Linked DNA regions of Callithrix jacchus. Each later gene encodes a partner of the first gene's protein in a complex. Links are inferred from orthologs where the notes say so. Each region holds a gene or a part of one and is shown on either strand. Other genes may lie near its edges.

Evidence for each region.
Region 2: the proteins of THOC5 (region 1) and THOC6 are in contact, whole or in part, in a cryo-EM structure (PDB 7APK), measured with the Homo sapiens proteins. The link is inferred for Callithrix jacchus from reciprocal best matches to the Homo sapiens genes THOC5 and THOC6. Residues at the interface, in NP_001002877.1 of Homo sapiens: Pro406, Gly407, Asp538, Ile539, Val540, Asp541, Ala542, Gly543, Leu544, Ser575, Ile576, Ser593, Asp596, Arg599, Glu602, Gly603, Asn606, Val607, Tyr609, Arg660, Phe662, Arg663, Gly664, Pro665, Ser666, Arg667; in NP_001334633.1 of Homo sapiens: Val5, Pro6, Ala8, Val9, Pro10, Leu11, Gly12, Gln13, Val16, Phe17, Leu20, Gln21, Leu23, His24, Met25, Thr26, Phe28, Tyr45, Tyr80, Asp94, Glu125, Val126, Pro127, Glu128, Asn130, Gly146, Tyr170, His172, Glu188, Trp222.
Region 3: THOC5 (region 1) and DDX39B share a complex: the UniProt entries of both Homo sapiens proteins name them as parts of the transcription/export (TREX) complex. The link is inferred for Callithrix jacchus from reciprocal best matches to the Homo sapiens genes THOC5 and DDX39B.
Region 4: the proteins of THOC5 (region 1) and THOC1 are in contact, whole or in part, in a cryo-EM structure (PDB 7APK), measured with the Homo sapiens proteins. The link is inferred for Callithrix jacchus from reciprocal best matches to the Homo sapiens genes THOC5 and THOC1. Residues at the interface, in NP_001002877.1 of Homo sapiens: Tyr52, Arg113, Lys120, Asp124, His127, Leu128, Gln131, Asn132, Leu134, Tyr135, Glu136, Met138, His139, Thr145, Lys146, Glu149; in NP_005122.2 of Homo sapiens: Glu60, Arg145, Arg146, Leu147, Ser148, Ser150, Gln151, Lys285, Met286, Leu289, Val296, Tyr297, Phe298, Leu302, Ser304, Leu307, Leu310, Gln311, Ser313, Asp314.
Region 5: the proteins of THOC5 (region 1) and THOC7 are in contact, whole or in part, in a cryo-EM structure (PDB 7APK), measured with the Homo sapiens proteins. The link is inferred for Callithrix jacchus from reciprocal best matches to the Homo sapiens genes THOC5 and THOC7. Residues at the interface, in NP_001002877.1 of Homo sapiens: Pro48, Asp51, Tyr52, Tyr55, Cys59, Leu62, Gln63, Met66, Ala67, Gln70, Phe95, Lys99, Leu101, Asn102, Ala105, His106, Arg108, Leu109, Gly112, Arg113, Gln115, Thr116, Ala119, Lys120, Val123, Tyr126, His127, Leu130, Leu133, Glu136; in NP_079351.2 of Homo sapiens: Ala21, Asp23, Ile27, Leu30, Val31, Phe34, Tyr50, Met53, Leu54, Leu57, Cys60, Glu61, Met64, Gly65, Thr67, Leu68, Val70, Tyr71, Asn74, Met78, Tyr81, Ile84, Tyr85, Ile88, Glu89, Ser91, Ile92, Ala95, His96, Lys98.
Region 6: THOC5 (region 1) and SARNP share a complex: the UniProt entries of both Homo sapiens proteins name them as parts of the transcription/export (TREX) complex. The link is inferred for Callithrix jacchus from reciprocal best matches to the Homo sapiens genes THOC5 and SARNP.
Region 7: THOC5 (region 1) and CHTOP share a complex: the UniProt entries of both Homo sapiens proteins name them as parts of the transcription/export (TREX) complex. The link is inferred for Callithrix jacchus from reciprocal best matches to the Homo sapiens genes THOC5 and CHTOP.

Annotation. Positions count from the first base shown.
Region 1 is NC_133502.1:200,157,518-200,161,814, forward strand, and holds the start of THOC5 (THO complex subunit 5), read right to left. Parts: upstream 2,801-4,297; 5' UTR 2,742-2,800; intron 1,609-2,741; 5' UTR 1,529-1,608; coding exon 1,493-1,528; intron 1-1,492. UniProt on the Homo sapiens protein: Component of the THO subcomplex of the TREX complex which is thought to couple mRNA transcription, processing and nuclear export, and which specifically associates with spliced mRNA and not with unspliced pre-mRNA.
Region 2 is NC_133513.1:5,170,985-5,174,960, reverse strand, and holds the start of THOC6 (THO complex subunit 6), read right to left. Parts: upstream 2,801-3,976; 5' UTR 2,519-2,800; coding exon 2,480-2,518; intron 1,495-2,479; exon of another isoform or gene 1,476-1,494; coding exon of another isoform or gene 1,437-1,475; intron 1,321-1,436; coding exon 1,205-1,320; intron 1,104-1,204; coding exon 1,039-1,103; intron 965-1,038; coding exon 861-964; intron 777-860; coding exon 739-776; intron 662-738; coding exon 613-661; intron 511-612; coding exon 439-510; intron 352-438; coding exon 249-351; intron 160-248; coding exon 110-159; intron 16-109; coding exon 1-15. Other genes in the region: HCFC1R1 (host cell factor C1 regulator 1), read left to right, coding at 2,902-2,996, 3,312-3,368, 3,482-3,610, 3,843-3,976. UniProt on the Homo sapiens protein: Component of the THO subcomplex of the TREX complex which is thought to couple mRNA transcription, processing and nuclear export, and which specifically associates with spliced mRNA and not with unspliced pre-mRNA.
Region 3 is NC_133505.1:39,016,320-39,019,182, forward strand, and holds the end of DDX39B (spliceosome RNA helicase DDX39B), read right to left. Parts: intron 1,671-2,863; coding exon 1,561-1,670; intron 1,463-1,560; coding exon 1,318-1,462; intron 1,180-1,317; coding exon 1,032-1,179; intron 705-1,031; coding exon 688-704; 3' UTR 501-687; downstream 1-500. Other genes in the region: MCCD1 (mitochondrial coiled-coil domain protein 1), read left to right, coding at 3-191. UniProt on the Homo sapiens protein: Involved in nuclear export of spliced and unspliced mRNA. Component of the TREX complex which is thought to couple mRNA transcription, processing and nuclear export, and specifically associates with spliced mRNA and not with unspliced pre-mRNA.
Region 4 is NC_133514.1:63,815,287-63,817,858, reverse strand, and holds the end of THOC1 (THO complex subunit 1), read right to left. Parts: coding exon 2,479-2,572; intron 1,489-2,478; coding exon 1,413-1,488; intron 907-1,412; coding exon 611-906; 3' UTR 501-610; downstream 1-500. UniProt on the Homo sapiens protein: Component of the THO subcomplex of the TREX complex which is thought to couple mRNA transcription, processing and nuclear export, and which specifically associates with spliced mRNA and not with unspliced pre-mRNA.
Region 5 is NC_133516.1:45,607,377-45,611,025, forward strand, and holds the end of THOC7 (THO complex subunit 7), read right to left. Parts: intron 3,297-3,649; coding exon 3,239-3,296; intron 2,030-3,238; coding exon 1,963-2,029; intron 1,846-1,962; coding exon 1,776-1,845; intron 831-1,775; coding exon 763-830; 3' UTR 501-762; downstream 1-500. UniProt on the Homo sapiens protein: Component of the THO subcomplex of the TREX complex which is thought to couple mRNA transcription, processing and nuclear export, and which specifically associates with spliced mRNA and not with unspliced pre-mRNA.
Region 6 is NC_133510.1:63,845,594-63,849,093, forward strand, and holds part of SARNP (SAP domain-containing ribonucleoprotein), read left to right. Parts: intron 1-3,155; 5' UTR 3,156-3,202; coding exon 3,203-3,247; intron 3,248-3,360; coding exon 3,361-3,460; intron 3,461-3,500. UniProt on the Homo sapiens protein: Binds both single-stranded and double-stranded DNA with higher affinity for the single-stranded form. Specifically binds to scaffold/matrix attachment region DNA. Also binds single-stranded RNA. Enhances RNA unwinding activity of DDX39A.
Region 7 is NC_133519.1:14,052,241-14,056,369, reverse strand, and holds the start of CHTOP (chromatin target of PRMT1 protein), read right to left. Parts: upstream 2,801-4,129; 5' UTR 2,537-2,800; intron 1-2,536. UniProt on the Homo sapiens protein: Plays an important role in the ligand-dependent activation of estrogen receptor target genes. May play a role in the silencing of fetal globin genes.

The DNA.
Region 1 (4,297 bases):
TGGAGGTAACAGTGAGCTGAGATCACACCACTGCTCTCCAGCCTGGACGACAGAGCAAGACTCCATCTCAAGGGGAAAAAAAGACCAACCTAATTAATGCCTCTGCTGTTTCAAAGCCTTTGCTGGCTCTTCATGATGTACTGAATGATATCCACATTCCCTGACCATGAAGAACCTTGATGGTTCGTCCCCAACCCACCTTCCCAACTGCATTTCTTGCATTCCTATTCCTACTGACCTTCCAACTGTCCCCAACCTCTGCTCCTGGCTGCAACTGCACTCTGCATTCCCAGTTCCTCAAACACTCCACATCCTTTCCCCTGCTGGCAAAGATCTTCCTTTTCCTCCCTATTTCCCTCAAGACTAAGCAATGCTCGTCCGCTCTAGGAAGCCTGTCAGGTCTCCCAAAGCATTCTTTTGGCTACTTTGGTTATCTTATCAGGGAATTTATTTCTACGAATCATTTACCTGTCTTCCCACCTAGATTGTGAGCTCTACCCTCTTCCCCATGAGCCTGGCAGAGTGCTCCATAAATTAGCATCCAGACTCCTTGGTCTAGCATTTAAAACCACTCCCAATATTACTGTGCTTACTGTGTGCTGGGCCTTGATCTAAGGACTTTAAGGTATGTCTTCATTTGCTTATAATAAACTTTTCAGATAAGAACTCCCACCACTTTACAGATGACAAAACTGGCTCACAGGGGAATTACTTGTCCAAGATCACATGGTTAGTATGCTAAAATCTGGGTCTAGCCAATCAATGCCATATTGGTGCTCTTAACTACACTGTTATGCCTCCTTGTCCTGCCAGCATCTCATCTAGTAATGCCATCGACTCCCAGGTTCATCCTAGAATTTAAAGAATAGAACCTACATTTCATGGGCCACAATGCACCCTCCCTTGTTGCCTAAACACAGCCTCCTGAGGTGGGCAGCACTGTCCCCTTTACCCTAATCCATCGTGCTCTGTCAACCAAGCTGGAGTGCAGTGGCACAATCATCACTCACTGCAGCTTTGACCTCACTGACTTGAGGGAGCCAACAGTCTGTCATGGTAAAAGTCAGAAAGCCCCAGGGCTGGACATGGTAGCTCATGCCTGTAATACCAGCGCTTTGGGAGGCTGAGGTGGGCGAATCACCTAAGGTCAGAAGTTCAAGACTAGCCTGGCCAACATGATGAAACCCCATCTCTACAAAAAATACAAAAATTAGCAGGCATGATGGTGGGCGCCTTTAATCCCAGCTATTCAGGAGACTGAGAGGGGAGAATCGCTTGAATCTGGGAGGTGGAGGCTGCAGTGAGCCAAGATAGTGCTGTTGCACTCCAGGCTGGGCGACAGAGCAAGACTCATCTCAAAAAAAAAAAAGTCAGAGAACCCTGAACTAGAATCTCCATTCTACTCTTTTATGGCTATCAATCCCAGGACAAGTCACTTCACTTTTCTCTGGGTCTGATTCCTCACAAATCAAATGAAAATAACAGTCCCTACCACAGGGGTTGTTGTGGGCTTTAACACAGGAGGCATTCCACTGAGGAAGGTGATGAAGATGACCTGGGATTGTGGCTTCAGATGATACACAGATGATCTTAAATAATGCTGAACACCTAAGGAGAAAGTTAATCCCTTTTCAATTCTTTTTTGAAACTTCTGCTTGCTTCAAGGAGAATATCTCAGTTCCCTAATTTGACTTTAACATCTACGAACAGGCCGGGCATGGTGGCTCACACCTGTAATCCCCATCACTTAGGGAGGCCAAAGCAGGTGGATCACCTGAGGTCAGGAGTTTGAGACCAGCCCGACCAATAAGGAGAAACCCCATCTCTACTAAAGATACAAAATTAGTCGGGTGTAGTAGCAGGTGCCTGCAATCCCAGCTACTTGGGAGGCTGAAGCAGGAAAATCCCTTGAACCCAGGATGCAGAGGTTGCAGTGAGCTGAGATCACGCTTTGCACTCCAGCCTGGCAACAAGAGCAAAATTACATCTTAAAAAAAAACAAAACAAAACAGGCTGGGCATGGTGGCTCACACCTGTAATCCTAGCACTTTGGGAGGTTGAGGCAGGTGGATCATGAGGTCAGGAGTTCAAGACCAGCCTGGTCAAAAGATGGTGAAACCCTGTCTCGATAAAAAATACAAAAATTAGCCAGGCATGGTGGCGGGTGCCTGCAATCCCAGCTACTTGGGAGGCTGAGGCGGGAGAATCGCTTGAACCCGAGAGGCAAAGGTTGCAGTGAGCCAAAATCGTGCCATTGCACTCCAGCCTGGGCAACAAGAGAGAAACTCCTTCTCAAAAATAAATAAATAGCATTGGATTAAAAATTTTTAGTAAAAGGTAGTACAGGTGTTAAGTTACACAAAGACAGGACCCGAAAGGCTTAAGTGTGGGAAATTCTGACTTTCGCAAGACAGCAGAATGCTTAGCACACAGGAGAGCACAATATGTGTGACTTGTTACCAACACCACCACCACCACCACCACCCCCCCCCCATCAGGCTACATTATCACCACCACCAACAACAAAAAAAGGCTCGAACATGAGGCCTGAAGATGCTGCAGCGAACATTTTTCGGATGAGGTAACAGCGCAGCACCCAGCGGCCGGGGACTGAGTAGTGAGGGAGGAGAAGCTGGCTCAGACCTCAACCCAGGGGCGCCCTTCAGGCGATCAGCACCTCAGTCCCGGAGCGCCCGGCCCCGCCCCATCTCCCAGCCCCGCTACCCAAATCCGCTCCTCACCTCACAGCTCCGCGAACCTGAGACGCGGAACAGGCCGCTTCCGGAGGCGGAGCAAAGGCGGCCCGCGCACCATAGAGAAGCGGAAGTAAGGAAGGGGCGGCCGACCGGAAGCGAGGCGTGGAGGCCAGAAGTGGAGCATGGAGGCCCACGAGTGAGGTGGGGGCCTAGTGAGCCTTGCGGAGGGGTGACAGGCGAGCTAGTAGGCGACGGGTCCCATCAGGGCAACAATCCCACACTGCCTTCTAAAATTAAGACACTTGCCTCGTTCACTGTCCCCAGGGCCTAAGGCCGTGCCCAGCAACTAGTGGGCGCTCCACCAAGTAATTAAATGAATGTTATGTCCAACATAACACGAAAGAACCTGCCTGGTAGCGGGCGGGAAGATTTGGGCCCTAGAGGATTTGGCTCCATAACCTCGATTCTTCCTTGCTGCTTAATTACTATTTTGACTACCATATGCCACATTAGTGAAGGCAACAAGTCAGGAAGGGCATTAACTTCATTCTATACTTGGTTTTTTGAGGAGTGCGTCACTAATTTCTCCCATTTTATGCCCGATTTGCCCAGGACAGAGTCACAACTAATGCAGTATTTGAACGCTTCAAGTATTTTCTACCCCTGGTGTGAACTCTACAGAGTCCAGGATTTTTTTGTGTAAATCCTACTTATCTGGAGCTATTACCACGTGGCCCAAATTCCTGGTTGTACAGGGACAGTTCTGTCTCCTTCCCTGGAGCAAGGAGGAAAATACTGTTTGTTTGTTTGTTTTTGAGACAGAGTTTCGCTTTGTTGCCCAGGCTGAAGTGCAGTGGGGTGATCTTGGCTTCCTGCAACCTAGGACTCCAGGGTTGAATGATTATCCTGCCTCAGACTTCTAAGTAGCTGGGATTACAGACATGCACCACCATGCACAGCTAATTTTTGTATTTTTAGTAGAGACAGGATTTCACCATGTTGCCCAGGCCTGACCTCAAGTGATTTGCCTGCCTGGGGCTCCCAAAGTACTGGGATTACAGGCCTGAGCCACCATGCGCAGCCACTACTGATTCTTGAGAATAGCTCAAGAACATAATACCCTCCAGGAGGACAGATCTGCCATATGGGACTAAGCCCACCAGCTCTACTGTGCCCTGCCTTAGGCACCTGCTAAAGTTCCTTGCAGATGAAGAAAGGACACTGTGGTTTATAGTAAATATTTAATTGGTTCCATCAACAACTCCAGCACAAGTTTTCCTGGATGGGAAACAGAATCAAGCTACCCAAGGGTTCATGATGAGGTATGGGGGTCACTGTGGAGACCCCCAGAGTCACTGACCCCCCTCCACACACCAGGCGGCCCTGCAGAATGAAGGCGAAGTAGGGGAGAGGTAAGATAGGGTGAGGAAACAGGCCCTGGCCTGTACATTTGCCTGCAGGAAGGAGGGAGGGCAGGAGAGACTTTCTGCATAGAAGGAGTGGAACTACACTTTTAAGTTCTCAACCCCAATATGTAGGGTAAAATAGCCAAGCCACTCTCCATCTAGTATTAGGAACTTCTTTTCAAGTGGTCTTCTGTC
Region 2 (3,976 bases), on another chromosome or scaffold:
GGGCCTGGAGCACTCCTGGGAGGGGAAGGGGAGGAGGGAAAGAGGTGAAGTCCTAGAGGGTTAAAGGAGTTTCTGGGAAAGAGGACAATGGCCACGGTCACACCCTCACCTCGTGCTTATAGACCTCGATTGTCTGGACCTCCTTGGCTGTGCGCAAGTCTGCAGGGAAAGAACCCACCCTAAGTAGTGCCCCACGAGCCTCAGCCTCCCTCACTGCCATCTTGCCCTCCAGCCAGCCACCTCCTTACCCCAAAGTCGAACAGCTCCATCCTCACCACCCGACAGCACCTCTGGGCTCCTTTCTCTCAATGCCAGGCAATGGATGTAGTCTGTGTGGCCCCGGAGGACCCGCTGCAGTAGAGGGGCAATGTGAGGAGATCTAGGAAGAGTGCCTCTCCCTGGCCTGGACCTGCTCTAGGGCTCCAAGCCCCTGCTCACCGTGAAGGTCCCAGTTTCAAGGTCCATAGTGTGCAGCTGACAGTCTCCCCCAGCCAGGATGAGAGAATTCTCCTGTGAAGGAGGAGGGTGAGGCAGGAAGTCAGTGTCAAATCAGGAAAGGCAGAGAGTGAAGAATCAAAGTTTGGACCAACAACAGTCACATGGGGCTCAGACCTTGGGGACCAGCAGCAAAGCATTGATCTCAGGCACTTCCAGGCTGGTCCTGGGGGAGGAAAGTCAGGGTAAGTGAGGGAGTGCCTTCACCCCCATGCGCCCTCTATCCACGTGGCCCTGGCTCACCTGTATGGAGGCTGACGGCACCACAGCTCCTTACAGCCCTTCAAAAGGAAAAACATGAGGCGACCTCAAAGGCCCTTTTTGGGTCTGGGTACCCCAGCCCTTGCCCCAGCCTCACTCCTTACCTTCTTGAGCATCTCCACCCAAAGCCAGGCCTTCACCTCCCCATCCCCAGCACTGAGCAGATGTCGATCTGTGGAGACCATGCTGTAGACCGGCCCATCATGGGCTGAAGAGAAATCCGGAAGTAAGTCAGCCGATCCCACCCAAAGCCCCGAAGCCAGACTCCACAGCTAGACCCACCTTGGAAAGTCACCACCGGCTTCTTACTTTCCTCTTTGGCTTCCGAGCTCAAAGCAGCAGACAAGCTGCAGGGGACAATGGAGGGGACCCAGGAGTCAGAAACAGGGGCATCTGTCCCATGAAGACCAAGTGCCAGGGCTAATGGGTGGACGGCAGCAGAGGGTACCTAAAGATGGCGATCTGCCCATAATTGTTGCCAGCTGCCAGAAACTTCCCACACGGTGAGACGCTTTGGGAGAAGATGGTCATATGGAGCCGCTGCAAGGCCTGGAACACCTCTGCCTGCAAGGAAAGACTGGATGAGGCCTGCCTGGGACATCTGAAACCTCCCATCCACAGACTCCTCCCTGCTTCCCCGCTACACCTGCCAGGCCTCCCACTGTCCTGACTTCTCAGACCTCTTTTGCAGCAGCCAGCACCTGCCCATGCAGTCCCATAGGTGGCTCCAAGAAGACACTGAAGAAGGGGAGAGTTGAGGTGTGACGCCTCATGAACCTCTGAGCAAACACCCAAGCCTCTCCTACCAGCTTCCTCAACTTTCAAATGGAGCTCACAGGAGATTGTCACGATTAGATGAGCTAGTGTATAGACAGAGCTTTGCACAAAGCTGTCACTCAGTGCTTAAGCCAGGTGCCATGGCTCAAGCCTGTAATCCCAGCGATCTGGGAGGCTGAGGCGGGAGGATCGCTTGATGCCAGGAGTTCGAGAGCAGCCTGGGAAACATAGTGAGACTCTATCTCTACAAAAAAAAAAAAATTTAAAAATTTGGCCAGGCACGGTGGCTCACACCTGTAATCCCAGCACTTTGGGAGGCCAAGACAGGCAGATTACCTGAGGTCAGGAGTTTGAGACCAGCCTGGCCAACATGGTGAAATCCTGTCTTTACTAAAAACACAAAAATTAGCTGGCCGTGGTGGCACATGCCTGTAGGCCCAGCTACTCTGTAGGCTGAGGCAGGAGAATCGCTTGAACCTGGGAGGCACAAGTTGCAGTGAGCCGAGATCTCACCATTGCACCCCAGCCTGGGGACAGACTCGGTCTCAAAAAAAAAAAAAAAAAAAGTGTTTAAAAAGTGGTTCTGCTCGGCTGGGCGCGCTGGCTCACGCCTGTAATCCTAGCACCTTGGGAGGCAGAGGTGGGTGGATCACCTGAGGTCAGGAGTTCAAGACCAGCCCGATTTAAAAAAAAAAAAAAAAAAAAGTGGCTCTACTACCCCAACATAGAAAAACGTACTGACTTGTAATCCCTATTCTCTGACTTGCGTTAAGCCCCTGAGGCCTTATTGGTTACTTTCCCGCCCCACCCCCCGACCCGGTCATAATCTGAGTCCCACAAACAGCCCTAGCAAAACAGGGCTCGGGGCACTATTCCCTGCCCGCCCTGTCCAAGTCATGCATGGACTACAAACCCCAGAAGGCACCGCGCACCACGTCCGTCTCACCTGACCCAGAGGCACCGCGAGCGGCACAGCTCGCTCCATCTCCAGAACTACAAGTCCCAGAGTGCTCGCGCGCAACGCAATCTCACGATGCCGTACGTTCCTAGAGCGGTTACTCCTCGCGGCGCCCTGCCGCCTTCGGCGCGAAGGTGACTGCTGCGTACTGTACTGAACCCCAGGAGCCGAGGTGAGCACCACGAAAACCCCCGACACTAAGAAGTGACGCCCACCGCAGTTCCGCTAAGCCGATCCCTTCCCCCACCCCGAGGAACAGGCCCGCCTTCCGCCACGCGCCCCACGTCTTCCGCGCCCGCGCAGAACCTCGCAGCTGCGCACGCCTAAAGCCACACCCCTTCGCGTTGGGCCACGCCCTCAGAGACTCCGCCTCCGTCGCCCAGATCCCACCCGCAGGACCCCAAAACCCAATGATCCTGGAGCAGCCCTTGGAGCGAGGCCCGCAGGGTGGGGCCCAGCGCCTCCCGCGGGCCGCCTTGGGGGTGACTCGCGGCCTGGACGCTAGGTGCGTGTAGGGGACCAGGGTGGGCCTGACCAAGGGCCGCAGGAGCTTTGGCTGGGTGCTCAGGGCTGGTCTGCAGATGGACACGGTGTAGGGCGAATCGGCGGGGCTTAGGTGTAAACTGAGACCGGATTGGGTCTTCGGCTCAAGGTCGAGACTTTCGAGGTACGCTGCTGGATGGCCCAGAAGAGAGGGGACAAGCACCACCTGAGACAGGAATGGGCTTGGGGCTCCTGGCTGATGCTGCAGGCTCAGGCGGGCAGATCCTTGGGAAGGGGCCAAGAGGGTGGGGTGCACCAGGCTCTCTTTTTTTCCCAGCTCCCCTCTCCGAGGAGCTGTGCCCCTGAGCACCAAGCGGCGCCTGGAGGAGGAGCAGTGAGTTTGGGGGGCAGGGAGGGACTCCCAACAAGATCTCTGTCACCTCTGGTCCCCAACACGCTGTCTCCTGTCTCAGTTTCCCAGCCTCCCTCTCTTTCATCTCTCCCCAGGGAGCCTCTGCGCAAGCAGTTTTTGTCTGAGGAGAACATGGCCACCCATTTCTCTCAACTCAGCCTGCACAATGATCACCCCTACTGCAGCCCCCCTATGACCTTCCCCCCGGCCCTGCCCCCACTCAGGTAGGCTCCTCCACTGGCCAGGCTTTCTGCAGGATCACAGGCGGTTCTCAGAGCTGACCTCAGGCCCTGCCTCATCGTGCCATTTTTAGCTCTAGCTGACCTCTGGGTTGTTTCCCATCTTGGCTCTTTGGAAAGTGCTGAGAACCCGGGAGCCCCTGGGGACCTGGACCTGGTGGGAGGTGCTCAGTTAGGCCGCCTCAGCCCCCTTGCCGACTATCATTTCCTCTTCTAGGAGCTCTTGCTCTGAGCTGCTTCTCTGGCGATACCCTGGCAGCCTCATCCCTGAAGCCCTCCGGTTGCTGAGGCTGGGGGACATCCCCAGTCCCTCCTACCCTTCGACCCCAGCTGGGGACATAATGGAGCTCT
Region 3 (2,863 bases), on another chromosome or scaffold:
AGGGCCCTGGGACCCACCGCACAGCTGAGCTGGCCCAAGCTGAGGAGCTGCTGGAGCAGCAGTTGGAGCTATACCAGGCACTCCTGGAAGGGCAGGAAGGAGCCTGGGAAGCCCAAGCCCTGGTGCTCAAGATCCAGAAGCTGAAGGAACAGATGAGGCGGCACCGAGAGAGCCTGGAAGGCAGTGCCTAAGCTTTCCCCAGTGCCCACAGCACCCTCTGGCACTGGAAATACTGTGCGTCACCCCCCAGGGACTTCAGGATCAGAAACACCCAAGCCACTCTCAGAGCAGAGAAAGCAGAAGAGACCCCCCCACAAAGCACAGGCAATTGGCAGGTAGTGGGGGAGCCAGGGCTCTGGAGTCTTAGTCCCATCTCCCTTTGACCTCACAGCAGGGCACCCAGGCCTTACAGGGAATTTATTCAGGACCACGACCTAAAATAACCTCACCCCAAATACAATAAAGGGACGAAGCACTTACAGATACCACAGACACGTGTGTTTCATTTTTAGTTTTGTTAAAAAAAATTCTGACAAATCAGAAATGGGGGTTCAGGAGTGGTGGTGATGCAAAAGACGGAAGCCATGGGGTGGGGGCTGTCAGGGATGGGGGCAGTAGTGTCTCCTTCACCCCCACCCTGTTCTCTCCTGAAGGCCAGACAATCACATTCCAGAATGGGCGAGTCCTCTACCGTGTCTGTTCAACTGAGGAGAAAACGTAGCATGGTCAGAATAAGGCATGAAAAGGGGAAAGCAAGGCAGGAACACACAGTATACATGCAGATACTGGTGTACTGTATGGGTTCAGAGGACAGACATGCGGGTGAGGGAAGGGATGTAATATGATGAGAGAAGACAAAGACCCCACACACAGGTCAGGAAAATAACCCAACACAGCATCGAAGGCCAGGGGACATGAACCGGTCAAGTGTCCATTACACATCAGGTGCCCATGACCTAGATGATGGGATTTAGGACCAACACACTGAGGAACAGGGATGATCTAAAGGGTTTCATGAGATCAGTACTCACTGTAGGAGGAGATGTCTATCTCATCAGGCAGCTCACTAATATTGACCTCAAAGCGATCCTGCACATCATTGAGGATCTTGGCATCATTCTCATCAGACACAAATGTGATCGCCAAGCCCTTGGTGCCAAACCGGCCTGCTCTGGCCACCTGGAAGGAGACAGAGGGTAGTACTGAGGACCCAAGAGGAAAGAGACTCCCAGAGGCAAGGATGAAGATGTAATGTACAAAAAGATATAGAAAAGAAGGTAATGGGAGAACGGGATTTCTTCAGCATGTGGGGCTTACCCGATGCAGGTAGGTGTCAGAATCCTCAGGCATGTCATAATTAAAAGCAATGTTCACCCGCTCGATGTCCATGCCTCGGCCAAATAGGTTGGTAGCCACAAGAATTCGTCGTTGAAAATCTTTAAACTGCTGATACCGAGAAAGCCTTTGTGAGAAAGGAAATTTAAAAAATGTTGAGACTCCCTTCTCTCAATTGTCTTTTTCTCCCAAGGATGTAAAACATCTTTCCCATCTTCAACTCACCTCTCCTCCTGGGGCATCCCACGGTGGATGGCAATGGCTGGGAAGTTCTGCTCCACCAGTAGCTGGGCCAAGGCAATGCACCGCTGCACAGACTTCACAAAGATCACCACCTGTCTCGGGGTGGAGGGGAGGGGGGCCAGGAATTGGGGAATAGGGGTCCATGGTGTGAGAGACATTATGTGGGAGAGAAGAATTTCCAGTAATTATGTTCTCAGGAATTCCTCTTCATCTCTTGTTCCCCCACTATATATTTAGAGCAGAAGAGGAAATACTTTTTCTCAGCACTGATTTTTACCTAAGGAGGCTGCCCTCTGAGGTAGAGTTCAGAAACCAAAATTGCCAGACATGGCAGGAGACAAGGATGAGGTCACCTCATGAAAAAGTGGTAAAAAACTAGAATTAAGATCTGGAGGAGTGACTGATATTCCTGCTCACCAAAACATTAAACCTAAGGAAGCTATCCTAATTCTAGAAAGTAGTTTTTAATGCAAATAGACCACTCACAAGTATATTAATGAAATGCTTTTTTGAGATGGTGTCTCACTCTGTCACCCAGGCTGGAATGCAGTGGTACAATCCTGAGTCACTGCAGCCTCCACCTCCTGGGCTCAAGAGATCCTTCCACCTCACCATCCCAAGCAGCTGGGACCACAGGTGCATGCCACCCACCACACCCAGCTACTATTTTTTTCCCACTACTTGTAGTGATGGGGTTCTCCCTATGTTACCCAGACTGGTCTTGAAGTCCTGGGCTCAAGCAATGCTCCTGCTTCAGCCTCCCAAAGTACTGGGATGATGGGCATGAGCCACTGCCCTGCACCAAGCCAGAAATGCTTCTTGTAAGCAGTATTAGAAGAATTGAACATTTAAGTGCCCTAACATGCCCCCCAAAAAGTCGTTTTAAGGCTTTTAACAACTTCCTAAAACCTTTCCTAAAAACTTTTTTTTGGAGACAATCTCTCTCTATTGCCCAAGCTGGAGCACAGTGGTGCAATCATAGTTCACTGCACCCTCAATCTCCTGGGCTCAAGCTATCCTCCCATCTCAGCCACTGGAGTATCTGGGACTACAGGCATACACCACCACACCTGGCTAATTTTTTTCTTCTTTGGTAGTGATGAAGTTTCACCATGTTGCCCAGGCTGGTCTCAAACTCCTGGGCTCAAGTGATCCACCTGCCTCAGCCTCCCAAAGTGCTGAGCTGGGATCACATACATAAGCCACCATGCCTGGCCAAGGATCTTAATTTTTTAAGTTTATTTTCCTAGAGATTATTGAGGACAGATCCATGCCAGCCACAGAA
Region 4 (2,572 bases), on another chromosome or scaffold:
TTTTCTGTAATGGACAAGATAGTAAATATTGCAGGCTTTGCAGGCTATAAAGTGTCTATTGCAGCTCCTTAGCTTTGCTGTTGTAGTATAGCTGGAGCTACAGATAGTATGAGTGAGCACAGCTAGGTGCCAGTACAATTTTAGTGATCAAGACTTGTGGCAGGGAGAACAGACCATCATTTGCTGATCCTCTACTTGAAAGCACGAATAAGTGAGAACAGAACAGTCATATGTTTCAGAAAGTGTTATTCTGGGATTTCAGGAGAGCTAGATTTTGTAACTACTAACAGCAAACAGGAAACTAATTTGGTATAGGAAACAACATATCCCTAAGTAGTGCTTATTTCACTTCATTATAAATACATCTACTTAACAGAAATATATTTTGTGATCTTGAGGTCACTTCGTTTAGGTCATTTTCTCAACCCACCCTCCCAACTTCCCCAAACTCTGGTTTGAGCCAATATGTGTTCTATTGTTCTTAGAGCACCAGCCGACTGTACAATTGTTATAAAAATGTTTATTGTTTACCAAAACCAGTGGACCTCTTACCAAATGCTGCTTGGTAACAAAATCTTATCACAGTTTTAATAAAAAGAAAAAAAAGAAGCTAACTATTTGTCTCATTGTCATTAGTTAGACTTTCCGCAAGGTCACTTAATCCAGACTTATTCAGTGCATTAATCAGATTCTCAGGCGTCGCATGAACTCCCTCTTGATCTTGCCAGGCAACTAGCAGCTGCTTAGCTCTCATCTTCATGTCTTCACTGTCACACTCAATCTGCCTAATTTCTGAGTCTTTCATTTCCAAGTAGGGAGCCAGAATCTTCCATTGTTCACCCAGCTTGTTGGCAAATACCTCTATTTGTTCTCCTGTTACAGGTTTGTCTCGCCGAACATCAGGACCTAGAAAATGAAAAGAATATAAATTATGTGCAGAGTACAAGGACATGTGCAATTCTAAGTATACAACAGAAATGGAAAGCTATGGGGCCAATGAGTTATTAATCACCGTTAGTAGACTTTATTTTAAAAGTAAACAATTATTTTTAAATATTTTCCATAAGCATGGTCAATTATCAAAGCTAAAGCTGTTACATCTGTTACAATTATGAAGGCTTTCTCTGAAATGAGCTGCTCTCCCTCCAATCACCAATAATTAACAGAGGTATGGGTCACCTTCAAATGTATTTTCCTTCCCTTTCAAAGTATCATCATTACTTCCCAATGTTATTGCATAAAATGTAGTATTTTTAAAGTTATTATTAAGCAATGTTTTAAATTCCTCACTGTAAGAAACAGTCGAGATAAAATGGGAGAAGTTGAGAAGTTGACCAAATTAAGGTACCTATCAACAAAAAAACCCAATCTTCTTCAATTTTGTAAAATAACCAAGCAAATACAATTCTTACTTTCATTTTCTTTCAGTAAAGCATCATTATCTTCCTCATCTTCATCCTCACCTGTTTTTATTTCTTCAGAAGGAGGCTAAAAATGAGAAAGAAGAATGTTTGAAAGAATGCCAGCCTCTGAAGTAAGGTAGCAGGTACTCTGTTTAGATAAGGATGGTTGTAAGATTCCAAGTACAGGGGGCATCAGAATTTCACCCCTGACATTGTTATATGACAGTATCAGGTAAGGTTTCTAAGTGGGACTGTCTTCACCTGCAGGAGTGAACTGGGGAAGACCCCGGAGTTAGAAAGACTCCCCAGCCCCAATCTGGGAAGCAGGAAGGCAGTGAAAAGCACAGTGCCAAGATTTGCAAATATCCAGGGTTTAGTAAGGCCTCAAGGAAGCTAGTAGCAAGTGTTCTTAAAAAGTTTGATTCTTTTTTCTTTGAAAAAAGACAATATAATGCAATGGCAAACAGGAAAAATTCACGTCTGCATGTATAGGTGCTTAACAGTTTACCCAAAGTACCGTGAATTGTATTTATTTTTTTTCTTTTTCATCACCAAAGATTTTTGAACATATTTAGTTATTTTTGAGACAGAGTCTTGCTCTGTTGCCAGGCTGGAGTAGAGTGGCACAATCTCGGCTCACTGCTATCTCCGCCTCCCAGGTTCAAGCAATTCCCCTGCCTCAGCCTCCTGAATAGCTAGGACTACGTGGTGGTGCACGCCTGACTAATTTTTTGTATTTTAGTAGAGACAGGGGTTTCACCATGTTGGCTAGGATGGTCTTGATCTCCAGATCTTGTGATCCGCCTGCCTTGGCCTCTGAAAGTGCTGGGATTACAGGCCTGAGCCACCACGCCTAGCCCTGTGAAAGTACATGCTGTATAGAAAATTATCAGTTACTTCTTTATCAACTCATGTATTTCCTGTAAATGTGTTATTTAAATGTGTTTCTCCCTCATTCTAAAACATGGGAGCTTGTGTTTTTACATGATTAACTGGGTTTTTTGTTCTCATAGCAATAGCAATTTTAAAGAAGAAGTCAACTAAAGGGTATGAAAAGCTGATCTATGGTACTTACTGGTAACTCCTTGGCGAGCTTTATTACCATATTTTCAAGATATTCTGGCAAACTTTTAAACTGCTGGTTGGTTGGCTGGAAGAAGTGAGGACTT
Region 5 (3,649 bases), on another chromosome or scaffold:
GGATTACAGGTGTGAGCCACCACAGCCGGCCTATGTAAGACAATCTTAACAAACTATTTACTTCAAACAACCCTTCATTTTACCAATATATTCTTTTCTATTGAAAATGATTACTAAAGAACAAAACAATAGAGAAAACAGATCAACAAAACAAGAATCATATTATTCACATATTAAGAAGAGAGATATAGAAAGCAAGGCATATTATTTTACTTTGCATCTTATAATTACCTCTCATGCCAGTGACTTTTAACAGCATGAAACCTTTCCCCATAATAAGCATATGCCACAAACATTTTGCATGTAATTTCACAGGTTCATGGCCCTCCTAAAGCCTCTTCATAGACTCTGTTTTCAGAAGTGTGATTATTTCTAGAAATTGGCCCATTTTCCCATGTACATCCTAGAAATGCCAACTTCTAACAATCTTCAACTTATTTTGTAAACCAATCAATGTAACCAGTTAAAAACTACCTAGAATATTAACGAGCACAAACATATCCAGCTTAAAAGCATTTTATTAAGCATATTTCGATGTTGCTTCCTACCTTTTAAGAATAAAAAATGCCTTTTAATAAAAAAATCTATACTAAAGTCATTTTCCTTTGTGTAAGGAAATATGAATGAAATGTACATTCATATTTCAAAACAGCATATGGTACTGCCAAAACTTTAAATATCTCAAGAGCACACCACATTTTAAACACATTATGTTCATGCAGCTATTTCAATATTCCTGGGAATGGTGGGCAATTAGCCTATCTATGGCTTAGGATCTGTTTCCATGCTTGCGTCCTGAGCTTCTTCTACCTCTGAGAGTTTTTCATCATCTGTAATTGAGAAGGAAACATAAAAGCTTAGTCGAGTTTGCCTACATTTTATATTTAATGAACATATGAAAACATGTTTATCCTTTATTAACCAATACAATTAAAGCAAAGATGGCTACTAATTGAATCAAACTGTAAAATTTATGTGATAGATTTCACTTAAAAAAAAAATCTAGGCAGGTGTGGTGGCTCAAGCCTGTAATCCCAGCACTTTGGGAGGCCAAGGCAGGTGGATGACCTGAAGTCAGGAGGTTGAGACCAGCCTGGCCAACATGGTAAAACCCCATCTCTACTAAAAAAACAAAAATTAGCTGGCTATGATGGCATGTGCCTATAATTCCAGCTACTCGGGAGGCTGAGGCATGAGAATCACTTGAACCCGCGAGGTTGGGATTGCAGTGAGCCAAGACTGCACCACTGTACTCCAGCCTGGATGACAGAGCACGATTGCCTTAAAAAAAAAAAAAAAAAAAAAATGGGTCTTAGGCTGTTCTTGAAAAACAATCAGAAGGTCAGGTAACATAGAATTTCCAGCTGTCTACAGGGATATAAAGAGCAAGTCTCCAGTTCCCTAAAGCACCCAGCACTCAGTGGGTATGCAAATATTCTTAGGTACTGATTGCTTATTATTGCCTGCCTGGGTCCTGAGTTGTTACCTTATAGTAATCTACTACAGTGAACCAAGAAAAACTCCAAATCTATCATCCTTCAATTTTTCTTAATTTAAACCACTAGATATATCTTTAAATCCTGTATTAGTACAAATTAAGACTTTTCTATACATATTCAAGAAAGTTGAACATGAGTATCTTCTAATGTCATCCAGCTATACTGTTAAGAAATTGAAGGCATATTCTCTCTCCAAGATACATATTTCAAAAGGAACATCCCTGACTCATTTAAAAAATCTTCATAAACATTTATTTTGAGACTATTTCTACTTACTTTCCAATGTTTGCTGAAGTTCATGGATGGTACTAAGAAGAACATGAAACTGTTTCCGTCTCAATTCCAGCTGTGTTAACAAGAAAAAAATTTATACAAATGATGATCTATATATATATAGATATATATGATGATCTATTTATAGATAGACAGATAAATCACAAAGGCTAAATATCTATGCAAATACCTTATCTTCGACACTTTCTTTAATATGTGAAAGATGCTCTAATTCTTTTCCCAGAGCTTCTAGTTCCCTGGAAATAATAAAACAGTGTTACATTTTGCTGAATGGGGCAAAAAATTTACAATTAATAACTAACTTATTAGTTACTAGATAGAATTTTTAAAATAAAATTGAAAAAAAAACTTATAAGGAGTTATAACACTCCATTATGGTGAGACTTTTAAAAATGATTTCTTCTTAACTTTTAAATATGGACTTACTTTAATTAAAATTACACTTTCTGATAAATTTTTAAAGTACAGAAAAATACAGATAATAGAATAACAAGACCCAAGAAATGATACATATTGTAGAGCTTAACTTCAAGGGTCTTTTTTTTGTAAAAGAAATAAAACATTGCCAATTAACTTGAAATACCCTTTGAACCTTACCCCTAGTCCTCTATCCTGGGCCTTTTTATCTCCTCTACCTCCCACTCAGGCAACCACTATATCATTCTAATCCATTTTTACACATATACCTGTATCACTGAATAATATACAGTATTGGTATATAATATTTGAAAGGGGGTTCTAACTTTTATAAATTGTTATTATTCTATATGTGTTTCAGAAATTTAATAATAATTTTAAATTTATTATGTTTTTTCACTGATTATGTTTTGAGGAGTGTGTTTGAACAGTACAAAACTAGTTTATTCTTTTTTTTTTTTTTGAGACGGAGTTTCGCTCTTGTTACCCAGGCTGGAGTGCAATGGCGTGATCTCAGCTCACCGCAACCTCCGCCTCTTGGGTTCAGGCAATTCTCCCATCTCAGCCTCCCAAGTAGCTGGGATTACAGGCACGCGCCACTGTGCCCAGCTAATTTTTTTGTATTTTTAGTAGAGACGGGGTTTCACCATGTTGACCAGGATGGTCTCGATTTCTCGACCTCATGATTCCCCCGCCTCAGCCTCCCAAAATGCTGGTATCACAGGCGTGAGCCACCGCGCCCGGCCTAGTTTATTCTTTTTAACTGATATTTAATATTTTAATATATGAAGACCACATTTTATTTGTCCACTCTATTTGTCCATATTACATGCATTTATTTTAGACATATAGGTGGTAAGGTCAGAGGAAAATAAAATCTAACAGAGAAGTATTGGGAAATATAATATCGAAGACCTGAACCCTCCTTTTGAAACATATTTATTTCTGCAAAAATGAAATGCCTAGGGTAGTGTATCAGCATTTATGTATAAAGGTTAGTTCCTTTCAAAGTAAAGCTCTACACTTACTTTAATGTCTCATGCCTGTCTGGATGATGCTGGATCACTTTTGCCAAAGCATCATATTCTGAAAGACATAAAAATGTTTATCAAACTAAGGGCTTATCAAAACAAAATGTGTAATATCACAAGCCTCTCCTAACCACTTCCCTAGTACATCAAGAAATGAAATCATTGAAAGATGAGTATTGCCAGTTCTAGTTGACTGAGTTATAACTATAATGACACATAACATCAAAAGTGTTCTAAACAGGGATTTTAGCTCCCTAAACTTCAGCACTTTTTTTCCATTTATATGTTCTGGACAGAACATAAGAGGTCAGCATAAAAATAAGTGAACTTAAGTTATTACTGATTATCAAATAGACTGATTCTGAGAAGGATCTTACTCACTAGTTGTCCAAAAAAAAAAAGAAGAAA
Region 6 (3,500 bases), on another chromosome or scaffold:
TCCTGCCTCAGCCTCCTGAGTAGCTGGGATTACAGGCACGCGCCACCGTGCCCAGCTAATTTTTTGTATTTTTAGTAGAGATGGGGTTTCACCATGTTGACCAGGATTGTCTTGATCTCTTGACCTCGTGATCCACCCGCCTCAGCCTCCCAAAGTGCTGGGATTACAGGTTTGAGCCACCGCACCTGGCCTAATTTTTTGTAATTTTAGTGGAGGTGGGGTTTCACTGTGTTAGCCAGGCTAGTCTTGATTTCCTGACCTGGTGATCCACCCGTCTCGGCCTCCCAAAGTGCTGGAATTACAGGTGTGAGCCACTGCACCTGGCCATTTCTCTTTTAAAATAATGTCCTAGGCTGGGCGTGGTAGCTCACACCTGTAATCCTAGCACTTTGGGAGGCCTAGGCAGGCAGATTACCAGTTCAGGACATCAAGACCATCCTGGCTAACATGGTGAAACCCTGTCTACTAAAAATACAAAAAAAATTAGCCGGATGTGGTGGCACACACCCGTAATCCCAGCTACTCGGGAAGTTTAGGCAGGAGACTCGCTTGAACCTGGGAGGCAGAAGTTGCAGTGAGCCAAGATTGTGCCGCTGCACTCCAGCCTGGGCAACAGAGTGAGACTCCATCTCAAAAATAAATAAATAAAATAAAATAAAATAATATCTTAGTATATGAGAAGAACACACTATATAACAAAAGATATAATATAACATTATGTAAAAACTGTATGTAGGCTGGGCATGGTAGCTCATGATATATGTAAATGTTAAGTAATTTGTAGGTGCTGGGATTACATATGACTTTTATTTTCTTCTAAACTTTACAGAATTTTTAAACTATTCTACAGTGAACATAATACTTTTATAACTAAACAATTTAAGGTGTAATTAAAATCAAAAGACTCGTTCTCTGGGAAGCAGAAAGAAAATAAAGTATCAGTGTTAGAAAGATCAAAATTCTTTTAAAAATATATATATTTCCCCCCCAAGATGGAGGTTTGCTTTTGTTGCCCAGGCTGGAGTGCAGTGGCGTGATTTCGGCTCACTGCAACCTCCGCCTCCTGGGTTCAAGCAGTTCTCCTGGCTCAGCCTCCTGAGTAGCTGGGAGTTTGCTACCATGCCTGGCTAATTTTGTATTTTTAGTAAAGACGGTGTTTTTCCATTGTTGGTCAGATTGGTCTTGAACTCCCGACCTCAGGTGATCTGCCTTCCTCTGCCTCCCAAAGTGCTGGGATTACAGGCATGAGCCACCACGCCCAGCCAAAAAAATTTTTTTTAATAGAGATGGCATCTCATAGTTTTGCCCAGGCTGGTCTCAAACTCCTGGGTTCAGGCAGTCTTCCCACCTTGTCCTCACAAGGTGCTGGGATTATAAGCATGAACCACCAAGATCAAGATTCTTACTTAATAAATGGAATGTTACTGGTCTGTCATGATCTAAGAAAAAAAATAAAATATTAAAAAATAAAAATTAAAAAATTAATGGACTGACTATAAAGATCGCTTATAATGTTATTTAAGGTATGATTCACAGGCCACTGCTGGTCCATGACCTAGCTGTTCCTGTTTAGCGGTGAGATAAATACAAAAATTGAGTGTAAGCTTTTAGAATGTTTTATAGCATTTTGATAGAGCAGTATCCAAGTGTACACTCATTTTTGTAATAATTGATTTTTATTGTTACTGCAAGAGTATTGCTCCATGACCTGATTGGGATATTGTAAAAAGCAGCCTTATCAGCCTACCTATTTAAAAGTACATTGAACTGGACAGAGTGCTGTGTACCTGTAGTCGCATCTGCTCAGGAGGTTGAGGTAGGAGGATTACTTGAGTCCAAGAGTTTAAGTTCAGCCTGGGCAACATACTGAGACCACTGTCTCTAAAAAGGAGTAAAGAAAATAAAAATACATTCATTTGTGAAACTCTGAAATCTGAGACCAGTGATTTAGTACTTAATAAGTATAAAGCACTTACTAGCCATCAAGCACTGTTCTAAATGCTTTATAAGATTTTTCATTTATGCAGATAGAATTTCTATAGCCTTTCTTTCCTGCTTGTTCTTCTGGATCAGCATGTCATTTTCTGTTGTAAAATAAGAATATAGAGCCCAGTAGACTGTTACATCATTTATCATGGATTTTGTATTTTGGTTACCTATGACTTGTAGGTAGCAAATCATACTGTTAACCTTCTTTGCTTAAAATTCTGAGGTCTTTATCCTTTGTGTTACTATTGAGCCTGTCCTCCCTTATCCAGTTTTTATATAATTGAAGTTTTAAATCTAAGTGTAGGAATTTATGTATATACCTTATTCCTTCTTTTTTTTTTTTTGAGATGGAATTTCGCTGTTGTTACCCAGACTAGAGTGCAATGGCACGATCTCGGCTCACCGCAACTTCCACCTTCTGGGTTCAAGCAATTCTCCTGCCTCAGCCTCCCGAGTAGCTGGGACTACAGGCACGTGCCACCATGCCCAGCTAATTTTTGTATTTTTAGTAGAGATGGGGTTTCACCTTGTTGACCAGGATGGTCTCGATCTCTTAACCTCGTGATCCACCCGCCTGGGCCTCCCAAAGTGCTGGGATTATAGGCGTGAGCCACCGCGCCTGGCTGACCTTATTCCTTCTAAATTAAATCTTCATTTGGCTAATTATTAGTCCTGAAGAAGTGTTTTTTTCTATTTCTGTTTTGTTTTTAAGCTTAGTTATGTCAGTAATCCATCAGTTCTCCTTCCATTGTCTGTAAAATAGATGATCATAGCTTCTATATCTTTAGTCAAGTTACTGATTTTTAAATCTTCAACAGAACTTTATGGTATGCCATTAGATGTTTCGTGCCATTTTGACACAGCTCCTTTAATCAGTTCATTGTTGACATTAGGTAATGCATCTACTTAATTCTATGGTGGTTAGACCTGTCTGGTAGATTGTAATAAAGGATGTGAGATAATAAGTGGTAAGGAGAATCTGCTTTTAGATCATTGAATTTTATACTTGAAGGTTCATTCTTCCCATTTGCTGGCTGCCACAGTAATCTTTAGAAAAAAACCTTTTCCCTCTTCAGAATATTAAGAAAATAACTAGACATTTGTGACGGTAAATAGATACACAAAATAGATGAGGTTTTTATTAAAGTGTGATGTTTATTTTTCAGCATCTGTTAGACAGTTCCTCCTGTATACTGAATATTGTTAGAGGAACATGGATCATCTTGGTGGACCCAGAGTCTTGATAGAATTAAAGGCGGTAATTCGGGATGGAATTTCGTTTTCTTTTCCTTTTCCTTGTGGGAACTACCACTTTATTCACTGGTGATCATCCCATTAACTAAGGAAAAGTTTTATTTTTTTCCCCATCAGCTTGCTGAACTAAAGCAAGAATGTCTTGCTCGTGGTTTGGAGACCAAGGGAATAAAGCAAGATCTTATCCATAGACTCCAGGCATATCTTGAAGAACATGGTGAGTACTTTGTAGAGGCAGAGTGATGTGAGTGAAGGGA
Region 7 (4,129 bases), on another chromosome or scaffold:
CCTCAGTCTCCTGAGTAGCTGGGACCACAGATGTGCACCACCATCTCTGGCTAATTTAAAAATTTTCTGGAGAGACGGGGGTCTTGCTATGTCGCCCAGGCTTGTCTCAAACTCCTGGCTTCAAGTTATCCTCCCACCCTTGGCCTCCTAAAATGACGGGATCACAGGCATGAGCTGCTGCGCCCAGAAAAAGTGCTTAAGTTTCTATGACAATTACCTCAGATTATTAAAACTTTAAGGTGGCAGGGTGTGGTGGTTCACCATCTGTAATCCTAATACTTTAGGAGGGCAAGGCCACAGGATGGCTTGAGGCCAGGAGTTGGAGTTCAGCCTGGGTAACAAAGTGAGACCCAGACTCTATTAAGAAAATAAATAAATAAATAAATAGTGGTGCGTGGTTGCCAGCACCTGTGATCCTAGCTACTGAGGGAGGATCACTAGAGGCCAGGAGTTGGAGGCTGCAATGAGCCATGATCACACCACTGCACCCAGTTCTCACTCCGGCCCAGGTGAGAACCCATCTCTTTAAAACATACTAACAAGCAAAAAACCCAAAACAAACTTCAAGGCCCAGAAAATACCTGTGAAATTCTCAAAAATGGCAGAACCCAATCCAGCAATGAGAATGTGGAGTTTGGCTTTTTTTTTTTTTTTTTGAGACAGAGTCTTGCTCTGTCACCCAGGCTGGAGTGCAGTGGCCTGATCTGGGTTCAGTGCAACCTCTGCCTCCCGGTTCAAGGGATTCTCCTGCCTCACCTCCTGAATAGCTGGATCTACAGGTAGGTGCTACCATGCCCGGCTAATTTTATTTTTAGTAGATATGGGGTTTCTCCAGGTTGGCCAGGGTGGTCTCAAACTCCTGACCTTGCCTGATCCACCAGCCTCGGCCTCCCAAAGTGCTGGGATTACTGGCCTGAGCCACCACACCCGGCTGAGTTTGGCTTTTAATTTAGAGCAGTCATTTTCTTTTCTTTCTTTTTTTTTTTTTTTCTGAGACGGAGTTTCGCCCGTTACCCAGGCTGGACTGCAATGGCGCTATTTCGGCCCACCGTAACCTCCGCCTCCTGGGTCCAGGCAATTCTCCTGCCTCAGCCTCCCGAGTAGCTGGGATTACAGGCACACACCACCATGCCCAGCTAATTCCTTGTATTTTTAGTAGAGATGGGGTTTCACCATGTTGACTAGGATGGTCTTGGATCTCTTGACCTCGTGATCCACCCGCCTCGGCCTCCCAAAGTGCTGGGATTACAGGCTTGAGCCACTGCGCCCGGCCAGAGCAGTCATTTTCAACCTTGACTACATGACTTACCCAAAGAGGTTTTAAAAAAAAAATAGGTCCAGGTACTACGGGAGCGGTGGCTCACACCTGTAATCCTAGCCCTTTGGTGGGAGGCCGAGGTGGGTGGATCACCTGAGGTCAGGAGTTCGAGACCAGTCTGGCCAACATGGTGAACCCGTCTCTACTAAAAATACAAAAATGCTGGGCGTGGTGGCTCATGCCTGTAATCCAAGCACTTTGGAGGCCAAGGCAGGTGGATCACCTGAGGTCGGGAGTTCAAGACCAGCCTGACCAACATGGCGAAACACTGTCTTAAACGAACAAAAGAAAGCAAAAAAAAAAATTAGCCGGGCTAGCGACAGTGCCTGTGTAATCCCAGCTACTTGGGAGGCTGGGGCAGGAGAATCGCTTGAACCCGAAAGGCAGAGGTTGCAGTGAGCCGAGAGCATGCCATTGTACTCCAACCTTGGCAACAAGTGTGAAATTCCGTATCAAAAACAAACAAAAATAGGGCTGGGCAAGGTGGCTCACGCCTGTAATCTCAACACTTTGGGAGGCCAAGGAGAGAGGACTGCTTGAGCCCAGCAGTTCGAGACCAGCCTGGGCAACATGGTAAGACCTTGTTTCTATTAAAACATAAATTAAAAAAATACGAATATCTGGGCCTAGATTAAACCAGAATCTCTGGTAGTGAGGTTTGGAAATGAATAATTGTGGGGTGGGGGAAAGCTACCTAGGGGTGCTTCCAATGTGCAGCTAAAGTAGAGAAACACAGATTTACAGAGTGAAAATACAGGTATGCCTAGTTTCAAAATTGGATTTCAACTCCAGAATTAAGTAGGGTCTTTAACAAGGAACTGAGGATCTGGGGCAGTGATTAGGAAAGGTTTTCTATATTCACCTGGTAATTAGCTCGCAGAGAGCCCTCCACAATATTTAACCCTAACGCTGCCATTAATTTCCAACATTTCTCATTTAATCTCCCTACCATCCTCAAAGCCCTGTCAAGACTCCCACTTTTGCTCAACCCGCCAAATAAGTTCCCTTTTTATCCCTATCAAACCCAACCTCCCTCAATCCCGCCACCAGGTTCCAGTTCAGCCCCTCCCCCGTCCCCTCGCAGGGGCTCCGCCTCCTCCCCGGGGCCTCCACGCTCCGCCACCTGAGCCGTTTCCACGTGCCACCACCCGCTCTCCGCATCTACTGGCCCCTTCCACTCCCCAAGACTCCCTGCTCCTTCTCACTACCGAAACTCACCGAAGGAAACAGACGCCAGGGTTCCTCCCGGGGCTGCCACCACGGCTCCGGCAGGCGGGCCGGGGACCGGCCGAACCTGAATTGACGGTGGAGGGGCTCGGGTTAGCTAGATGGGCGGTTGGTTAGATGCGTAAGCTGTAGTATGCGAACTTAGTTTGTTGTTGCTGGTTGGCTGTCTAGTCGGCAAATCCGTCTGCTCACTCGGCCTGCCCTTTCCCGACTTTCGTCTGCAGCGGCCGCCAGCTCCGTCTCAGTGTCCAAAACAAAATGGCCGCCACGTCCCGTGCGTGTAGGACCGGCTAAAATGGCGTCTACGCAATTACGTCAGGAGTCAGATCTGCGCACGACTAGAGGGCGGGAAAGATTTGAGCTACGCCTGCGCAGAAATCAGAGGCGGAGCCTTATGGCGAAGGCGGGGCTTGAGCAAACGTTACTTTAGCGTTGCAAGCAGTGCTCCGTCCCCCCAGGGGCGTGGCCAGTGGTCCCGTAGTGGGGTCGTGCAGGGTTACCGTAGGCCGTTACCGTAGTGGTTGCACGGCGACTTCCTGGGGTAGTTCGTAGAGGGGATTTTAGTCCCGAGTTCCCTCGTCCCCCCGTTCCCCAGCCAAGGTACACAGTTTAAAAATCTTTACACGGGCGGAGCGCGGTGGCTCACGCCTGTAATCCCAGCACTTTGGGAAGCCGAGACGGGCGGATCACGAGGTCAAGATATCGAGGCCATCCTGGCCATGGTGAAACCCCGTCTCTATTAAAAAAAAAATAAAATAAAATCTTTACATGGACTTGCCTCATCTTCTACCGGACCACTGGGCCTGGGGAATTTGTACTGGTTTTCCCCTCATGTCCACTCGCCCAGTCTGAGAGTTGTGAAGTGCCGTAAATGCTCCGGCCAAGGCCCAGGAGGCCAGTATTGGGAGCACACTCCTCGCGGATCCTTCGCCGGCTCCACGGCCGCCCGTCCATGTTTTCCTCCTCACTTCCTCCTCTCCCCACAATACTGTTTAATCCTTCTTGTGAGGGCACCTTTGCATCTCCGATTTCTCTTCCATGTCCTCCCTCCACACCTGCCATCCGTGTTGATTTTGTTGCAGACCTACAAAGGGATTTATCTTTTCTCTCTGATTTTTTGTTGTTGTTTTGCGACGGGCTGTTCAGGCTGCAGTCAGTGGCACAATCAAGGATCACTGCAGCCTTGATCTCCTGGGCTCAGATGATCCTCCCACTTCAGCCTCCCGAGTTCTGGGATTATAGGCGTGAGCTATGTGCCCTGCTCAATAAGGAATTTTTCTTTCTTTCTTTCTTTTTCTTTTTGCAGATGGAGTCTCCGTCACCCAGACCGGAGTGCAATGGTGCAATCTCGGCTTACTGCAACCTCTGCCTCCTGAGTTCAAGCAATTCTCCTGACCTCAAATGATCTGCCCTCCTCTGTTACCTAAAGTGCTGGGATTACAGTCATGAGCCAACGCGCCCGGCCTCAGTAAAAGATTTTTTAATGGTTTTGTACACAATACAGTGTGCATACGTTTGATTAATGAGAGAATGCAACCCCGCCCCATAGGCACGTCAAGACCCTTTCATTTTTCCTTCCTGGCA